Cricetulus griseus: one gene and its partners. The protein of the gene in region 3 purifies or fractionates together with the protein of the main gene of each other region. This does not show direct contact. Links are inferred from orthologs where the notes say so. Each region holds a gene or a part of one and is shown on either strand. Other genes may lie near its edges.

Region 1 (4,076 bases), on a different chromosome or scaffold from region 3:
TCTAGTGAAATTTCCTTGCCAAAGATATTTCTACACAATTGGGATATGGGAAACAAGACCAGAATTATACGTAGGGACAAATGAGGTTTGTCATAGGTCTTGTCAACTTGAGAGTAATACTCAGCTAGGAGAAAGACTCTGCAGGTGTGTGTGAGAGGAAAATAGCGTTCAATGTGTCAGATTTTTGTTTTTCCTCCTAGTGGCAGAAGAGAACAAGTCAGAATAGTTTCCTGCCTTCGGGGGAAGTGAGGGAGACAATAAACATTCATGAAGAGTGACCAGGGGTGATAAGGCACACACCTGTCATCTCAGTATTTGGGAAGTCGAGGCAGGAGGCCAGTCTGAGCTGCATAGGGAGACTTTGTCGAAAAAGAAAGAAAGAAAGAAAGAAAGAAAGAAAGAAAGAAAGGAAAAGAAAGAAAGAGAAAGAAAGAAAGAAAGAAAGAAAAAGAAAGAAAGAAAAAGAAAAAGCCAACCAAGCTAATCAAACCAAAAATCAAACAAGTGGTGAGAATAACGGGAAAGGCCAGGGAGCAGGCAGGACGGGGGTGACTAAAGATTTCAAGAAAGACCTCTTACAACAAGGTGACATGTGAGCGGGTCCAGAGGAAGGGGAAGTGGTGTGCTAGTTGCCCACCCGAGATCGGAAGGAAGGGCAGACAAAATGAGTTGAACCGGAGAGCTCTATTAGCCTGGAGATTCGAGAGAGCGCCCACGCAGAGCCTGGGAGTTGGCGGTCCAGTCAGTCTCCCGCACTGTGCTAAGGGGCTGGGGCGCCGACGTGACAGGGCTCTCCGAGGGCAGGGAACCCCGTTTTGCTGTGTTCCGGGGCGCTGTCTGCGAGCACTGAGGAGCAGCGGGGAAAAGTGCGGAGGACGAAGACTTCGGCGCGGCCTCAGTCAAGCTAGACCGGGGCAGCGGAGCCCAGCGGCGGCCGAGCCTGACGCTCTGGCTGCGTCACAAAGCGCGCCGCGAGCGCCGGGTTCCGGAGCAGCGCCGCGCGGCCCGTCCGTCAGAGCCGCGGGAGGCGGGCGGCGCCCACCGCGGGCACGCGACGCCCTCTGCAGGCCGCCGGCGGCAGCACTGGTAGCCTCATCTTCCTCGCTCCTCCCGCCTCTTCCTCAGGCTACATTTTTGTCCGTCCCCAGAGCGCCAGCCTCCGACTTCCGTTCGTTTCCTCCACTTCCAGGCCGGGTGCGTCCGTGTCTTCACCGAGAGACTGACAATAAAGTTTTTTCCTCTTCTCGCTCCCAGGAGCCCCGCCTCGACTCCAAATATCGCGAGATCTCGAGGCGCGGCTACCATGGCGGCGGCATTTGAAGCCCCGGCGGCCTTGACAACCGCGGAGTCCGCTATGGCGGCGGAGCGCGCGGCCGTGCGGTCCCCGGCCGCGGAGCCGACTCCCAGCTCCCCGTGGAGCCTGCGGACCGCTCACGACATCGGCGGGCCGCGGACGCGTACCGGGGACGTGGTGCTGGCGGAGCCCGCGGATTTCGAGTCGCTGCTGCTGTCGCGGCCGGTGCTGGAGGGGCTGCGGGCGGCCGGCTTTGAGAGGCCGTCTCCCGTGCAGCTGAAGGCCATCCCGCTGGGGCGCTGCGGGCTCGGTGAGGACCGGGGCCGGCCGCGGGCGGGGGCCTGGCCCCGGAGAGCTCCGGCTCCGCGCCTTTGCGGGGCTCGGCAGTGCTCGAGGCGCGCAATTGGATCGGAAGGCGCCGGGTCCAAGCTGGAGACGAGCAGCGGTAGAGATTCGGGGACTAAGGGGCTGGAGAAATGTCTCCGTGGTTGATGCACGCCTCGCGCGCGCTTCAGGGTCAACTAAAAATATAGGTGACAGTTAGGTGGTCTTAGGAGAGAATCCGGCCGTTCCCTGGTCCTATATTGGTATCTAGTTGCTTCAGCGAGTCTTGCTAATGATACCTATTCTTTTTTTCTTTTCTTTTTTTCTTTCTTTCTTTCTCAGATTTAATTGTTCAAGCTAAGTCTGGCACTGGGAAAACTTGTGTATTCTCCACCATTGCTCTAGACTCCCTTCTTCTTGAAAACTACAGTACTCAGGTGAGTAACTCAGAGGATCCAGACGGGGGGTGTGTAGCACGTGGCCTCTAGCTAGACTTATGAAAAACTACTGACTCCTCACAGATGGTGTGTTTGATGAATCGGAGAATGTGAAACCGTAGGAAAATTACAGAAGTAAACTACATAGATGGTAAGGTCGTTGAGTTGTGGCCGAGAATATCATTATTAAGTTTTTTTTTTAAATTTGGAGTCTTCTATAATTACATTTTGAATATGTGTTACTTAAAATCATTATGCAATTAAGAAACTTTTTCTTGGGCTGGAGAGATGGCTCAGTGATGAAGAGCAGTGACTGCTCCTTCCAGAGGTCCTGAGTTCAATTCCCAGCAACCACATGGTGGCACACAACAGTCTGTAATGAGATCTCCTGTCCTCTTCTGGCCTGCAGGCAGAACGCTGTATACATAATAAATAAATAAATCTTAAAAAAATTTTTTTAAAAAAACTTTTACTTACTAGATTGGGGTTAGAAATAAACTTAAAAGTTTTGGTTTATATAATACGCTATGGCAGAACTTAATATGGTTGTGGTTTTTTTGGTTGTATCCCCCCTCACCCCCAAAGGGTTTCTCTGTGTAACCTTGGTTGTCCTGGAACTTGCTTTGTATATTAGGCTGGGCTCGAATTCACAGAGATCCTCTTAATTTTAGGTTGCCTTGGAATAGTTTGAAGATTGTCCTACTCAAACTAGTAGGAAATATGGGTTTGGGAGATAATTCTTCAAAAAGATTTGTTCAGTTAGTAATACATGCAAATACTACACTAGGCACTGGGGATTAAGCAATGAGTTGGATGTGGTCCTCCCACCATCTTCTGGAGTGTAGTAGTATAGTAACTTTATTTCAGGTTAAGAAGTGTCTGTTGTGATGATGAATCTTGAACAGTGTTGGTTTTTTTTTTTTTTTTTTTTTTTTTTTTTTTTTTTTAACCCGGGATCCTTGTATTTGTTGTCTAGGAATCTTTTTGAGCTCTGTATCCACCACATTCTGGCAGATACTGAATATAACTTAAGGACAGTGGCTAGTCTATTTGTAAATTAAGATGTGTTTGAGAGAGTTTGGCTTGTGACACTTGGCAGCATACCAAATCCTAAACCTAAGTAAAATTCCCTTTTTTTTGTTAAAGTATTTATATTATTAAAGTGTGTGTGTGTGTGTGTGTGTGTGTGTGTGTGTGTGTGTTTATCAAAGTAACACTACATAATTGTTTTAAGTTGGGAAATTTCAGGGAAAAGAACAAAGTACCAAAGAACTCTAAATATGTGATGTGTACCCAGAGTTAAGAGATTTTTAAAAAAATATATTTTTATTATTTCCTTGTCTTTTTTTTAAGCAATATTTTCTTATAGTGACAATATGTATGTTCTGCAGTTTTTACTATGTGTGGCTCTCATGGCCTTTGGAACCTAACTCTGGGAGTTAACTCTGAGATAGAGTCCTCTTAAAATCTTAGTACCTGGGCCTTTTTGCTGCTCCTTATGTGTACCTTAAGGCCTTTGGATTTGCTTTTTCTTTTTCTGAAGCACTGCTTCTGGTGTGTTCCACAACTAGCTCTATGCTGTATGTCTCAAATGTTACTTTCTTATGGGACTTTTAAAATTCTTTGTTTGTTTGTTGGAAGCAGGCACACTCTACCTAATTCTAGCTGGACAGAAGCTTACAACATAGACTAGTCTTCAGTTTGAGGCAATCCTCATATCTCTGCTTCTAGAGTGTCGGAATCATAGGTGCATGCCAAAACGTCACTTCGGAAGGGCTTTCTGATCATTTAAAATGATTTCCCTTGTCAGGTCTTTCTTTTTTCCCTATTTGATTTTTTTTTTTAAATAATACTTTTTATTACATGTATATGTTTTTGTTTATGTTATAACCAAAAAGTGCCAAGAGAGCAATTCTTTCACAACTTGTATGTTTTCTCCCATATAGTACGTTCTTAATAATTAACCGAATAAATGGAATATTTTCTCCTGTTTTAAAACTCCTCTTACAATGAAAAGTAGT
Region 2 (3,952 bases), about 28 Mb from region 3:
CTTCCTCATCCTAACCTGCCTGGGTCCAAGTGCTATGAGGCTAGGGGCCTGCCTCCCTCCGAGATGTCAGGGAACTCAAGGTACCTGGTTAGTATAGCAGATGGAACAGGGGCAGCAACTTCAGCAGCAATGACAGGAGTGTCCTCGGGCAGTGAAGACTCTAGGAGAGAAAAAGAACTTCCCAAGGGGAAGGGAGCCTTGGATTCACACCCATGTAGAAGGGAATGAGAGTATGAGGTCTTTCTGACCTTTCCATCCCCTGAGAGAATCCCTTCCCCCTGATCTAGACTCAAGAGAGCCTCAGCAACAGCTCTTCCTCCTGGGATCCTCTGCTGACCCACACTGGCTCAAAAGCACTGAGGGTGGGGTAGGGGTAGGGCTCAGAAAACAGAATTTCTTCCTACCCAACAAGCTCCAACCTGAATGTAGAAGAGGGAAAGTCATGTGGCTAGAAAGGGGGCGTTTTGGGACCATCAGCCTTATCAGCCTTAGTCTCCACCCTCTATGGCTTACCCCGGGCCCAGAGTAGCCACCACCCATCAAAGGGGCTATTACCCTAGAAGCACCCTAGAGGAAATTCTCAGGAAGGGGCCAGGTCAGGGTGGCCATGAGTCACCAGGCCTGGATTAGGAAGAGAAGTAGGTGGTGAGGAGGCCTGGTTCTCAGCAGGGCTTCTAGTGTCCCTTGACTGTTCCTCCCTCACCTGCTGTCCTCCAGGGCTGGTTCCAGCATGCTCCCCCCTTTGAGGTGTTTGAGGGCCACCTCAGCTGCCTTGTGCTTGGCTGCCTTCTTGCTGGGGCCCTGACCTAAGAAAAGGGGTGTGGGCAATACTGGAGGTCACCAGCAGGACAGCAGAGAAACCAGCCCCCACAGCCTCTCTCCTTACAGCCAAGGGATTGAACAGCTCGCTTACCAACCTCCCCTGCCAGACTAGAAGGGCTCTGCTGACTGCTCAAATAGTCTTTGTCCTAGTTAGTTTTAACTGTCAACTTGGCACAACCTCGGATCATATGAAAGGAGAGCCTTTATTGAGGAATTGCCTAGCTCAGACTGGCCTTCGAACATGTCTGTGGGAGACTGTCTTGATTGTTAATTGAGGTAGAAATGCTCAACTATTGTGGTACCATCCCTTGCAAGGCAGGTGGCCCTGAATGTGGAAGCACTGGGCATCTGCCATTGTTCCGCTGTGCTTCTGTGGCTGTGAAGTAAGTGCCTTGGTCAGCTGTAATGCTGTGTGGAACAGCAAGCAGGCAGCAAGGATGAGTTTATTCTCTTTGCTCTCTGCTTTGTGGATACCTTCCCCACAATGATGACTGTAAACCAATCAAGCCTTTCCTCCCCTATGCTGCTTTAGTTAAGGTGTTTTATCACAATATAAATGGGCCTAGAGCAGCCCTTAGCTTTCAATTATCTCCCATAATTAAGTCATGTAAGGCAGGATTTGAGCTCCAACACTGGGGAGAGGGGAGGTGTCTTCCTTTTCTCTGCAAAAGCACTTTCTTTTCCCTCAACAAATAAGCAATAGAGACAACAAAGGATCAGTTCTAAAGTCAAAGCTCTACTCTGCCACTTATTAGGGCCAGTCATTTAATTTCTGATACTAAGCCCTCTATGGTCAATATGGGTCAAGAGGCCAGCAAAGTGTGTGTTTGCTCCCCCAAATACCCATGGGTAGTTCAGTGTCTCATCTACTTTTCATCTAAGGTGGTAAGAGCAGCAAATTCCTGTGACATTTCCTGTTCTCACCAGTGAGTCTCTCGGGTCCTATCCACCTTCAGGCAGTGGTTTTTCCCCTGAAACCTCTCCATCCCTCCCTGGCCTTAAAGGAGAGGACTGTGGTGAAGCGATCCCACGATATTAAGCCACGGGCCCTGTGAATGCACACCCCAGCCAGGCTGCCCAAGCCTTCCTCACCAGTGCAGCTGGTGTCGCCAACGGTGACCCGGAAGGTGAAATTAGGCTGATGGGCTTGGCCCTCGGCTTTGAGAAGGTCGTACACGGGCGTCTTTCCTATTCTGGTCCCATACTCCTGAAGAAGGCTGATCGGGGTCTTGCCCGGGTTGGCGGCCAGCATTTGCTCTATGCTGGGAGGGAGGGGCACACACCAATATCACACTTCCCCTTTCGGCACCCACCTGACCAAGCACTGTCACATTAGACCTAGCACATTACTGGGTCCATGGATCCCCAGGCAGTATAGCATCCATTGACTGGGCTAACAGTTAAGTTGCAGGAGGGAAAGCAAGGTCCTCTACCCCAAGGCAAGTGGAAACTGTACTGTTCTCAGTTAAGGCGAGGGAGCCTGTGCCGTAGTGCTGGTTGGACGTGCATTTCCCCCTGGCACAATGGAATTCGGGAACCCAGTACCCACCAAACGCACTGAACATCAGGGCATAAAGCGTAAGGCTCCAGTGCAGTCTGGGAATCAAGCCAACCCCAAACTAGAGCTGGAGGCGGTGGCCACTGACCCAGTGCATGCCGGGAACCTCTGCCCACTACCCCAGTGCTTGCTGGGAACAACCCTCAGGCCAGGTGCATGCTGGGGCTGCGCCGCTACCCTCCGCACCGCCTCACACTTTTCGTCCTGCAGGAATGGAAATTAGGCAGCTCACCTGGGCAGCCCGCAGCCTGTGGTAGTGCCGGAGCCCTGCTCCTCTTCACTCATTCCCTCCTCCGTCCCCGCGGGCGCCACCGTGACTACAGCCTCCACGCGCCCCAGTACACCGCCGACGAGCTAGGGCCGGGGCCAAGCCCGGAGTCGCGGCCGGTAGGGCCCGCCGCGGGGCATGCTGGGATCTGGAGTCCCCCTCCCATCCGACTCCTTGTGTCTTCATCAGGAGTCGAGCTACCCGCCCCACAACTCTCCGCGTGGCTCGCCCGGGCGCCTGCGCCGCCCTCTGGGAGGAGCGGATCCTCCACGGAAGCTTCTCAACCTACCAGTGGTTTTAGTTTTCTAATGTCGTCCCGCCTTCTTCCTTGCGCACTGCCTCCTCCCAGGCCGAGACTGTGAGCATGCGTACTAACGGGGTGGAGGCGGCTGGGGGCGGGGCGGTAAGGCATGCCACCCTCAGAGAACTACAGAGCCCAGGTGCCCGCGCGCCGTCCGGTCGCCGCCGCAGGCTTCGCGGCTTAATCGGCAATGCCGAGAGCGACTTCCCAAGGCGCTTTTCGATTGGTCATCTGGCCCAGAGGGCGGGGACGGGGAAAGGGATAGGCTTCCTGAGGAAGGGTTGTGATTGGCGGAGGAGGCTGCCGGCGTGTTTCTTTTGCTGCCCCAGAGGGTGGGCCTTACCTGGCCGCCCCCGCCCCAGAGCTCTGGGGTTGTTGTAAGTTTTTTTTCAGACACTGTCTCCCCAGGCACCAGTGTGAGTGCCAGGCCCCTCGGGCCTCGTGTCAAAAATCCTGCTGCTTTTGTGTGTGTGTGGTGTGTGTGTGTGTGTCTTGTCCTTCGCCTCTCTTCATTAACTGCACGCAGCCTGTAAGGGTTTGCTACTCCTTAAATAGGCCCTACTGAACCTTTCTTTAACTCTCCGGGAATCTAGGGCCCGAGAATCATTAGATGTACCTTCTGCGGTGTTTTGTAGCCTCAACTGAAAGAACACGAGAGTAATTAACGAACTAAATTACGCGCAGAGCTAAACAAGTACTTTTGGATCCCCAAAGTCTTGATACCACCAGAGTGCAGAATGTGGGGGAAATCTTGTGACCTTGGATAGAGGAAGAAAGAGACAGATACCACGAAAAACGTGATTCAAAGAGTGTTTTCAGAACGGGTCTAGGAAGAGATGTCTTGCTAAGAGGGGATGGGGGCTGGAGGTGGAGGAATCTTGGGGTGATAATCAGGGGTCATCCAGGAGCTCTGAAGTGGGAAAGGCCGCACGACTGGGTGAAACAGAAGCAGTGACAAGGGCAGGCAGACCAGCTGGCGACTTTGGTATGAGAAGGGACCAAC
Region 3 (3,513 bases):
GGCTGGTCAGCAGCCCACAGGTGTCCTTGCTTCGCCCAGACCTAAAGTCACATCCTCCACTCCCTTGCACATGTGGGATTTCTATGTTGGAATTCATGCTTGTTTTTTAAAAGACTTATTTTATGTATATATCTGCACATCCCAAGGGACCACCGTTATAGATGGTTGTGAGCCGCCACGTGGTTGCTGGGAAGTGAACTCAGGTCCTCTGGAAGAACGGTCAGTGTTCTTAACCTCCAAGCCATCTCTCCAGGCAGAGGCATCTTCGTGAGTAGTTTCAGGCCAGCCTGATTTAAACATTGAATCCCTATCTTAAAACAAAACCAAACAAAATGGGGGCTGGAGAGATGGCTCATAGGTTAAGAGTACTGGCTGCTCTTGCAGAGGATCCAGGTTTGATTCCAGCCACCTGTAACTCCTGTTCCAGGGATCTGATGCCTCTCTTCTGGCCTCCATGGGGACCAGGTGAACAGACATACATGCAGGGAAAACAGTCATACAATAAAGATATAAATTTAAAAGCAAAACCAAAAAATCCCAACTTATTATATTTTAAATTGTGTGTGTGTGTGTGTGTGTGTGTGTGTGTGTGTGTGTGTGTGTGTGTATGTGTGTGTGTGTGAGCTCGCACATGTATATATGTGGATACAATACATTAAGAGGGCACTGCAGCTGGAGCTACAGGTGGTTGTAAGCTGCCCAACATGGGTGCTGGGAACCAAACTTGGGACCTCCAGAAGAGCAATATATGCTCTGAACTATTGAGTGATTTATCCAGCCCCTAGGGTTCACTTTGTAGAGTGGAAAGTGAACGAGCCACAGAGGTAGCTACTAGATTTTAGGAGCACAAATAAATCCTTGCAGGACAGTCTCATGACTTCCAGTGTCTGGGAATATGAGTGACAGGACCAGCCTGAGTTTGTAAGGAGGGATGACTGTTCAACTGCCTTACGTTTGGTGACTGGCAGGCCGGCGGGTCACATTGCAGACACGGTACTTCCTCTTCATCTGACCACAGTGCGTTATCTCCACCTTTAGACCTGGTGACAGACAGCAGGCATCAGAGTTACCCTTGCCATGCACCTATAGTCCAAACTCCAGTCTAGAATCAATTTGCAGACATGGCAGCTCTGGCCACATTTGAAGCCATAGGCTTCTAGAGCCGAGAAGTAAGAAATGAGTGCTATCCTCAGGATGCCATGGCTGCACCCACCTTGTCCTGAGATGCCAGCACAATTCAGCTCAGTAAGATTTGGGTGTCACCACTACCACTCTCTCACAGTGATTCTAGTCCTAACCTTTGTGGCTCAGACAGGACAGGCATCCCAGCTGCTCCCACCCATGTAGTTGTGCTCGTTAGCGCCATGGGCCCCCCTGTGTGAGTCCCAGCTATCTCAGAGTCAGTGTGCCTTGTGGCTCACTCTTCCCATAGCTCCCATCTCCCTCATCAGAGTGGAACAAGAACCCATCCATGCATGGGTGGGGACCCCAGAGGGGGCCCTCACCCCCTAGCCTGTTGCTCTGGGTGGTTCTTTACCTTTTATTTCTTTGGTAAACTTTACCCTTTGGGAATCTGTCAGAGGTTTTTGTTGTTCTTCAATACTTTTAAAATCCAAAACTTCACAAACAAACTCGATCACCGGCTGTGCCTTGTAAAATGCAGTTGCTGACACTGTGCAGGAAAAGCAAGAGACAGACAAGAACATCTAGAGTAATCCATGTGACTAGTAGCAGGCAGCTCAGGAGGCCTGGCCTCAGTTTCTCCTGTATGCTCCCCCGCTCCTCTTATGTAATGAGAAAACCAATGTCCACTGTGCCCAGAGCTCCACACTAACCAAGGAGATTCCATGCTTTTCTCTAGCCATAGGCAATGGTAAGGGATTGGCTGAGACTGAAGAAGTCACCCAAAGAACTACTGCGGTCTTTTTTTTGGTTTTTCGAGACAGGGTTTCTCTGTGTAGCTTTGGAGCCTATCCTGGTACTTGCTCTAGAGACCAGGCTGGCCTCGAACTCACAGAGATCCGTCTGCCTCTGCCTCTGCCTCCTGAGTGCTGGGATTAAAGGCGTGTTCCACCAACAACCGGCGAACTACTGTGGTCTTATAAACAAATCTAGCTTGACACAGAACAGCCAGGACCTTGGACCCTGTAGGCTTTTCTGGCCACCTACTTCTGCCAGAGGCATTTCTGAGGTTTTTCCATTCATGCAATTCTTTTGCAGTCAGTATGAGCCTGAGCAAGATATGACCTAGGGCCTTCCTGGAGCTGCTGCCAAAACTTATCTTCTATGTGAGAGGAGGCATCGATCCTCCTGATTGTTGGTCTCTGGCAGAGGGAAGCGGACTCAAGCACAAAGTATGACCCCTGAGTTTCCTGAAGCAGTGTCCTCCCATCACTGAGAGCTACGTGGATCGTGAGGGCTCTGAACCAAGCAATATATTGATGGAGTCACAGTTGAATGGCATTTCTGGAAGGCTGCAAAAACTCAGACAGAGGTCTCCTGACTGGAGAAGTAGATGGCTGTGGGTGTACCTTCAGGGGAGCTCTTACCCCTGGCTCATTTCCATATGCCTCCTTCCCAGGCACCATGAGATAAGCAGCCATGCTGCATCACAGCCTCTCTGCAATGGTGCTCAGCTTCAGAATGATAGCATCAGCTTATTGTGGACTGAGTCCTCTGAAACCCCCAGTGAATCTTTAACCACTTTAAATGGTTTCTTCTAGGTACTTGTCACAGCAGTGACAGTCAAGCTGGAGGATCAACAGACAACGGCCACCCATTGGCACCTAATGGTGCTCTTCTCTCAGTGTAAACAACTTGAGTACTCAGGAAACATGGAGAGAAAGTGAGGGATGTGGCCCCAACCCCAATACTTGTGGTGTTCCAGCAGTGCACAGGGCCTGGCAGAGTCAGCTCCCCAGGCTGGCTAAAGGGCCCCTGGGAATGGAATACTCCAAAGGCTCCGATACCCAAACACGAACCACCTCAGATACCAAACACACGGTTGACACAGGCTGGTAACATTCCACGTCTCTGGCTTCACCAAAGGCTAGAGATAGCTATGAGAATCCTTCCTAAGGTCTGGCCACCTCTGAAAGCTTTCAAATCTCCGTCCTGTGTAATGCAGGTTGCACGGGCCCCATTCACCCTGCAGTGAAGCCCATAGGCTTTTCTTACCATCAATATTCAGCATCATTTTCCAAAGAGAAGGTCGGACGGACTGATGGAAGCCAAACCACACTTCCCGGCCCCCGCCCAGGGGGTTGGAACAGCCTTCAGACGCAGTGAAGAAGGAACGGCCAACGGGGGTGTACCTGCCAGGGAGACAGCCCTCTCCTAGTCAGAAGGGAGTCAGTCAGGAAGGGCCAGGCTGACTCCATGCTCTCCTCCTGTCATCCCAGCAGGCACACTGACACTCAGAGACCATTCTAGGTTTTTTCCTGTGAAGTCATGCTCATCATATGGAGTTGTAGGCTGCATCCACACAGCGTAAGCAGTAGCTGATGGAGGTGT
Region 4 (3,513 bases), on a different chromosome or scaffold from region 3:
TCCACTTGCACAGAGCAGAAACTCCAAACACAAGTCTTAGTGTGATTTTGAAATCTGCCTTTCAACTAAAATAAAAATAGAGTTGTATAATGAAGTTTTACAAACATAGTTTCATCTCCAGGAGGAACTTTAAAACTATCAGTGAAGACAGAACCATTAAATCAGGTTCTCTGGGACTGACAGACCACCTCAGGAAGTGCCAAGGCAATTTAAGGAAAGCCGGGGCTGAGAACCACTTGTTTTATCTAGTAATAAAGATATCTTGCAGAAGATACACTAAGGCAAGGGGTCCTGGGCTTCTTTCCTCCCGAATCTCATTGGTGCTGGCCCTGTCATGCAAAGGCTGGATTACGGTATGGGGCAGACCCAGACTGTTTGCACAGTACAGGGCCTAAGAATGAGCTTGTAACTTGATTGTGGTATTAACTAAGACCAAGTAAAGTTTCATCAACAGGACAAAGGCCAAGGAAATGCACAAAACCACCAACAAGTGATTTAGGCAGTCAGAATACAGCTGCACAGCAGGAAGATTTCAAAGTTGCTCCTATTAAAAAAAAAAAAAAAAAAGATGTCAACTGCCCAACGGTTCCATTACTGACAAAGAACCCAGACAAGCAGAGCACAGCACAAGTTCAAAACAAATTAGCCTGTGGTTGTTGGAAGGATGATGAAAAGGACCAAACCGGCTGGAAACCCTGGCTGTATTGAGGATACCCAGTGCTGCTTTTCCTTGGAAAGTTACCAGAGGATGGTGCCTTGTTGTTCCCTTGGAAACACCTACTCTACGTAGTCACTTGCTACGAGCATCAGTCCAAGGATTCACACATAGACACAGAGCACACACCACTGGTGTGACCAGAGGGCCCCCAGCATACCTGGCCCGAGCAGTGGCGACCGATTCAGCTGAGTGCCAGCCTGGTGTGAAGGCGGCGTCTCGGCCTGGTGTGTGGTGCTGCTCGAGGTGGGGGTCGTGGGGGTGGCAGGGGTTGTGGTACTGCTCTGGATGACTGGATTATTTCTGTCCCACATGTTTACAGTTTTATTGTTGTAGGTGCTTGGGTCCCCCCAAGCTGAGGTACCATCATCGATTTCCATTTTGCGTCGGATGGACGGTGGAGAAGGCTCCTCCCAGCCAGTTGCCTCACAGCTGTCCTTCTGCTTGACTGGCAGTGGCCCCCCAATCCACCCTGTCCCTGTCTGCTTAACAGAAGCAGCTCCTCCCCAGTTACTCACATTGCTGTCTTGGGGCTTGTGAGCCCAGCTCTGCTGGGGACCAGGCTTGAGAGACTCCCCCCAGTTTGTACCTGGGTTCACCTTAGCACTTGCGCCACTGGCCCAGCCACTGGTTCCACATCTCGAGGCATCGTTCCAGCCAGACCCTGACCTATTACCGTCAGCGTCCCATCCAGGTCCATTTTTCTTCCCATCCCCTAGATGTCCAAGGACCGAGGATGAATCTGCCCAGTCTCCTGCTCCTGCGCTCCAGGCTGGGTTTGCTCTTTGTCCATCTCCCCAGTTTTGAGATTTGGGTTTCTGAGGCTCACCCCAGGTGGGTGACTTGTCCTCCTGGTTTACGGTCCCACTCCAAGCATGGCCACTCTTGGTGGCAGCAGCATTGTTAACAGCAGTAGAGCTTATCGAGTCCCCCCAAACTCCTGGGCCACTTGGCGCTTTGTTGTTGCTGTCTCCCCAGCTTGTGTTTGCTGGCACGGCGGCAGGTGGTGAGCTGACCCACCCCGATACTGAAGAGGTATTTGTACTGTTCATGAGGGACCCATCACTCTTCCCCCCTGAGTTTGAAGGCTGAGTAGCTGCACTACCCCAGGCCTCTGTCCCATTGTCATTTTTCCTTTCAGACCTAGGGGACTCTTCAAATTCCCAGGCAGTGTTTTGCTTTACAGGAGTCTGTCCCCAACCAGTATTAGACAGAACTCGTGGGTCAAGATCGCCCCTGGGCAACTGGATGTGCCCTTGGTCTCGCCTCCTGCCCTCACCCATTGCTTCCCGCCCAGCGCCCCCTTCACTGTGATGGCCAGAGCCATCACTGCTCCCTTCGCTTGGCGTAGTTCCAGAAGATGTGGCTTTGGCCCACGAGCTCACGTGTTCACTGCCAGGCTGCAAGGCAGGTGGCTGGCTGGCAGCACTGGGACTGTCCCACCCTGTTGATCCTTTCCCACTGATGTCACTACTGGAATGCTGGTTTGGGAGCTTCCCCCACTCCCCATTCATACCATTAGAAGAGCTGCGGCTGGGGTGGCCCCAAGCTCCTGAATGGATATTACCAATGCCATTGTTGCCACTGCCCCTTCCCCAGGCAAGGATGCCAGGACCCGCAGGTGGCCCCGAGTCCCAGGCATTCCCTCCGTTCCCTTCCTTTTGCACAGCACTGCTGGATCCATTCTGTTTAGCACTTAGTGCTGAGTTCACAGTGTCTCCATTCCCCTGACTGAACCCAGAATTGTTATTTCCTGTGGCAGGATTACCAGGGGACAGTCCCCACACAGAACTGCCCATTCCTTCCCCACCACTTCCACTGCCTTGAGAGACTGATGATCCGTTAGCACCAGGAAGGCCTTGCAGGTGGGGCGGGATGATGGCCCCCATGCCAACAGCCATGCCCCAGTTTGGCAGTCCGTTCGTCTGCATTGCATTGATAGGGTTTGGTGAAGAGTTCATGGGGTTAGTGTTATTTGATCCATCAGTGTTAAGGTTCTGAGGTTGTACGCTGAAAGACACATTCTGACAAGTGGACGTCTGTGGTTCTGTGCTCTCTTGGGGCAGCAAGTTTCCCCAGGCACCTACTGTGCCCACTGGGTTCCCATTCTGGCTGCCCATATTCTGACCTATGGCACTGACTGGACTGCAAATACTGGAAGGGTTGCCTGTTGCCACAGTTCCTTCATGCCCGAGTACAGGCCAGGCAGCTGGGTTGGCATTAGGGTTAAGGTTGAGATTAATGCCCGCATTGGAGTTGGAAGCACCCCAACAATTTTGACTTCTCCCATCTCCAATCATGTTGTCCATTTTTCCATCTCCACCACCAACAGAGCAGTGAGTCAGGCCAGAGCTGGAGCCTGTGGCTACACCCCACACTCTGGCCACACCTCCATTCCCGTTGGTTCCACCTGCCCCAAGGGCACTCTGATTAGAAGGGCTTTGGACGAGTGCACCATTGGTGCCATTATTGCCATTTGTCTTCTTGGGATGTCCTGTGAAGCTGCCCTGGGTGCTCCCTGTAGCCATACTACTGTTCTCTGAGCCACAGGTGGAGGCAGAGTCAGTGTCCGCAGGACATTCTGAGGCAGATTCAGTCTCTGTGACGGGGATGGACGGCCACACCTCCTGGTCAGTCCTGTCTAGCGTCACTTTATCCCAGCCGCAGTTGGCTTCACTTCTGTAAGAGGGCTGCTGTCCCCAGTGGGAATTTTCATAATGATCTGCCAATCCACTGTGACCAGGATCTGAAAAAAGATGAAAGGAAACTCAAAATTATATTCTCTTCCCACTTGCCAC
Region 5 (4,128 bases), on a different chromosome or scaffold from region 3:
TAGCTAGCTTTGAACTCACAGAGAACTGCCAGCCTCTGCTTCCTGAGTGCTAGGATTAAAGGCATGCACCACACCCAGCTGAGCTTTTGTTTTTGAGCCCAAAGCCTTGCATATACCAGGCAAGCACTCTACCACTGAGCTGTATTCCCAGCCCTGCCTTCCTTCTTCCTAAACACACTGCTGCTAATGGGTTTCAACATTCTGGGCCTTACAGGGAAAAAGTTCACCCAGCAGTTTCTTCTAGTCAAAAAGGACACTACTGAACATTCTGGCTCTGTGGCAGGAACCAAGAAAACATTCATTCACTGAGCTAAGAACTGATAAAGACATTTAAAGAAAGGCAATATGGGAGTTTAATCAAATAATGGATTTAAATCCTAGCTCAGTCATTCAAAAATGTGACTTTACACATTACTGAGTCTGTCTGCATACACAGACTATAATCTTCAGTGGTATAACCATGAAAACCACATGACATACAACATATACTAGTCATACTTTTGGAACTATTTTGGTACTGTTACCTTCTCGAAACATCTTTCAGGGGTGGGAGAATGGAAGGTTACTATCGCAACAATAATCAGACCACAAAGAGCCTGATTTAAATGTTCAATTGTTGGCAGGCCCAGTCTTCTCACTATTTTGTCTCCTCCAGTGCAAAAACAAAAGGACACAGGTCTTTATCAAAGTGTATAATTTGGCCTAGAAACTAAAGATTCTAACAACTGGGAGTTGAAGAGATGGCTCAGCAGTCAAGAGCACTGGCTGCTCTTCCAGAGGACCTGGGTTCGATTCCGAGCACCCATATGACAGCTTGCAATTTCTGTAACTCTAGTTCCAAAGGACCTGAAACCCTCACATCAATGTCCATAAAATAAAATTATTGTTTTTATAAGTTATTTTTTAAAAAGAGTGTAACAACTAACTGGTCACGGTCACTGTTCCTGACAGCGCCCACCCATTCCCAGGGCCCAGAGATGCCTAACCCTTCCTTCCTCATGTCCAGTTTCCCATGCTCCAAGGAACATATTTTCCCCATTCTCATAGGCCAGAGTCAGCTGCAAAAATACTGACTCCAGTGGCCAGTTGTGGTGGCCCATGCTTCTAATCCCAGCTCTAGGGAGGCAGATTTCTATGAGGCCAGCCAAAGTACATTGTGACACCCTGTCTCAAACCTCCCCTACCCCCAGGGGGAAAAAAAGTGATGACTCCAGGGAACTAATGAATCTCTTGGCCACTAACCATTTACTCACACACCCAAAAACAAGTCAAGGATCAACACTCCTACTAAACCCAGGCCTGAAGGCAATGCACCTTGGCTTCCACAGTAGCAGAAGGCCCAGAGTTAGGTTGCTGTGGCAGGGTTCTTTCTGGCTCAGGTTGCCCTGCCCTCAACACCATTCCCTCGCAACAGTAAATTCAATTTAACTGCATTTATCAGCTTAGCCGAGCAGATGTCTGCCGACAAACATGAGATTTTCAGACACTGTGTACATGTGACTTGACAAAGTCCCAGACTCAGTTAATAGCTAGGGGAAACTGCAAGGCTTTATCAGTAGCTGGTGCTAGGAAGTGACTGCTTACTCTGGTAGGCACGGGGCTTGGTGACATACATTTTTTTACCCGTGACATAGGATCTTGTTATGTAGCCAGGACTGGCTTGAAACTATATAGAGCAGGTTGGCCTAGAACTCTTGAGATCCTCCTGTGTCTGCCTCCAAAGTGCTAGTTAGACATAAGCTTCCACACCCAGCTTTACACCTAAAAGACCATTTGATCATCCAACTAACTTCTTGAGGATTACCACTCCTGTTTTAGAGATGGAAACCTCGAGGCCCACATACAATTTGTGCAGGGTGTCTGAGTCAGCGGAGTCAAGCCATGGCAGAACTCTTGACAGCTTCGGGGCATGAAACTACCTAAAGAGCTGGCTGGGACAAAGATCTTTCTCCATAGCTTATTATTTGCAAATCTTGGAGTACCTCCCGGGACAGCCTCCCTGTCTTACCCTCTAAAGAGCACACCTAGCAGGGTGGGGAGGCTTGGCAGATGGCCACAGATTTCTATCAACGCCGCTCTCCTTCCAGACCTCGCCTAAGAGACTCCAAATCAAAGGATTCAAAAAGTACCATCTCTGTCTGCTGCTGCTGCAAACCCTGCTCGAAAGCGAGGGCTGCGGGACACCACTGTGCACAAGTCACCGTAAGGCGCCCAGTTATGCACGTGGTCTCAAAGAAACGCCAAGCCTGGGAGGAAAGCGGTATCAGCATCTCTGCTTTGTGGACCAGGAGAGCTGCTAAGAAACTTGTTCCCCGACTCGGCAGTCACCCAATAAGGAAGAACGGTCCGGACGTCCGTTCCTCCCAGCCCGGCATTTCCGAAACACGTGCAGTAGCCCTGTGCACTTTCAGGGGGTCCAGGGCTACATTCGCTCTCTGTTTTCTAATGGGAAAGAGACCACGAGGCGGAGGAGGGATCGAGGAAGACCAACACGAGGCCGGGCTGCGGGCTGGAGGCCGGCCTCGCGGCCGCGGGTCCCTAAAAACTCCTCAGACCCCCGGCCTCCAGAGTCGGCTCCGGAGAGCGCCACTGGAGGAGCACAGGGCCTCGGCCCACCCTGGAGGGGCTCTGCCGGACGCGGCCCGACACCAGGCCGGAGTAGGGAAACGCGAACCCACCTAGGTCCATGGCGGCGAAGCTGGCGGCCGGGCTGGACCGCCCCTCCCACTCCGAGGCCGCGAACGCGGTGCCCCCGCCACGGCACAAAGGGCGGCGCCACAGGCGCGTCACAGGTACCGCCCACAGCTCGTACGGGCTTCCGATCAGTACTCCGCTCCCCGGCTGCTGCTCCGTGCGCACGCGTCTTCCGTCCTCCTCGACAAGCTCGCGGCGTCGAGGCCGACCAGGCCCACAGCGCCCCCTCTCGGCCCTAGGCTTCCCAGCCGGCCGTCTACCCTCAGGTAGGTAGGCAGGCTCCTTGCGGAATTACAGTTCTCTTGAGGCCAGGAGGTCCAATCCCTTAGTCCAGACTTCTCACTCTCACCCAGGAACCCCCACGATTCACCTCCAACGGAATGGCCTTTCCCAGGCTGCCCACTAACCAGCAGCGGATCCATGGGGCTCCCCGTCCAGCCTCAGAGACACACAGAAATGCCCAAATGCTTTTCAGCTCTCATAGGCGCCTTTGTAAGTTTGAAGGACAGTCACACTGGGCAAAGCACTGTGGGACAGGGCCAATCGAATGGATTCCTGGTCAGCAACTTGTAGTTTTTCAAACACACACACACACACACACACACACACACACAGACACATACACACACACACACACACACACACACACACACACACACACACACGTGTTCTTCCCACACATTATCTCTTTGTCCTTTCTTTCCAAGGCCTAATAATCGTCTGCTTTGCTTATTCCCAACTCTCTTCTAGTACCAGGTATCACTAGAACAGAGAGGCACACACAGCCTCTGGTGCAACAATGAGCCAAGTGGAGTTTGAAATGGCCTGCGCTTCTCTCAAGCAGCTGAAGGGTCCTGTGAGCGATCAGGAGAAACTGCTGGTGTACAGCTTCTACAAACAGGCCACCCAGGGCGACTGTAACATCCCCGTCCCTCCAGCCACAGATGTGAGAGCAAAGGCCAAATGGGAAGCGTGGAATGTGAACAAAGGGATGTCCAAGATGGATGCTATGAGGATCTATATTGCCAAAGTGGAGGAGCTAAAGAAAAACGAGGCTGGCTAAGGACATTTTGGCAGACACAAGGAAATAGCAGTGGCTCCACTGGTGGGGAATGGGTTTAAGAACTCCTGATGGCTGAAACATACTGAAAAGGGTAGCAAGGTTAGCGGAGACATCAATAAATCACTTGAACGGCACAAGAGTGGAGTCTGTGTCAAAGAGCAACTCTGTGAGGGTCCTGGAAAGCAGTTCAAATGTGTAAAAGCACCTCTGCTGGCTAAAACTCCATTAGTCATGCTTTGTGTGGTCTGACTGGCTATGTGGATGGATATTTGGCAGAAGAGGGGATGGGTAGGGGTGAATCACGCTATGAAAATGACCAAGGTCGGAAGTGAGGCAGAGCTTGGACCTGTATCAAGGGCTGTCAACTCACC

The links.
Region 1: the proteins of Ago2 (region 3) and Ddx20 purify together in Homo sapiens (affinity purification with western blotting; 3 studies listed by BioGRID). This does not show direct contact. The link is inferred for Cricetulus griseus from reciprocal best matches to the Homo sapiens genes AGO2 and DDX20.
Region 2: the proteins of Ago2 (region 3) and Tarbp2 purify together in Homo sapiens (co-immunoprecipitation; 10 studies listed by BioGRID and IntAct, with this or other methods). This does not show direct contact. The link is inferred for Cricetulus griseus from reciprocal best matches to the Homo sapiens genes AGO2 and TARBP2.
Region 4: the proteins of Ago2 (region 3) and Tnrc6c purify together in Homo sapiens (co-immunoprecipitation; 6 studies listed by BioGRID and IntAct, with this or other methods). This does not show direct contact. The link is inferred for Cricetulus griseus from reciprocal best matches to the Homo sapiens genes AGO2 and TNRC6C.
Region 5: the proteins of Ago2 (region 3) and Gemin4 purify together in Homo sapiens (affinity purification with western blotting; 4 studies listed by BioGRID and IntAct, with this or other methods). This does not show direct contact. The link is inferred for Cricetulus griseus from reciprocal best matches to the Homo sapiens genes AGO2 and GEMIN4.

Annotation. Positions count from the first base shown.
Region 1 is NW_023276806.1:51,319,545-51,323,620, forward strand, and holds the start of Ddx20 (probable ATP-dependent RNA helicase DDX20), read left to right. Parts: upstream 1-1,275; 5' UTR 1,276-1,303; coding exon 1,304-1,604; intron 1,605-1,960; coding exon 1,961-2,055; intron 2,056-4,076.
Region 2 is NC_048595.1:398,895,141-398,899,092, reverse strand, and holds the start of Tarbp2 (RISC-loading complex subunit TARBP2), read right to left. Parts: upstream 2,807-3,952; 5' UTR 2,666-2,806; coding exon 2,613-2,665; intron 2,503-2,612; exon of another isoform or gene 2,372-2,502; intron 2,085-2,371; coding exon 1,915-2,084; intron 807-1,914; coding exon 704-806; intron 178-703; coding exon 85-177; intron 1-84. UniProt on the Homo sapiens protein: Required for formation of the RNA induced silencing complex (RISC). Component of the RISC loading complex (RLC), also known as the micro-RNA (miRNA) loading complex (miRLC), which is composed of DICER1, AGO2 and TARBP2.
Region 3 is NC_048595.1:370,801,989-370,805,501, forward strand, and holds part of Ago2 (protein argonaute-2), read right to left. Parts: intron 3,315-3,513; coding exon 3,178-3,314; intron 1,673-3,177; coding exon 1,538-1,672; intron 1,041-1,537; coding exon 953-1,040; intron 1-952.
Region 4 is NC_048600.1:130,270,300-130,273,812, reverse strand, and holds part of Tnrc6c (trinucleotide repeat-containing gene 6C protein), read right to left. Parts: intron 3,462-3,513; coding exon 876-3,461; intron 1-875. UniProt on the Homo sapiens protein: Plays a role in RNA-mediated gene silencing by micro-RNAs (miRNAs). Required for miRNA-dependent translational repression of complementary mRNAs by argonaute family proteins.
Region 5 is NC_048600.1:89,667,672-89,671,799, forward strand, and holds the start of Gemin4 (gem-associated protein 4), read right to left. Parts: upstream 2,811-4,128; 5' UTR 2,689-2,810; coding exon 2,679-2,688; intron 1-2,678. Other genes in the region: diazepam-binding inhibitor-like 5, read left to right, coding at 3,494-3,757. UniProt on the Homo sapiens protein: The SMN complex catalyzes the assembly of small nuclear ribonucleoproteins (snRNPs), the building blocks of the spliceosome, and thereby plays an important role in the splicing of cellular pre-mRNAs.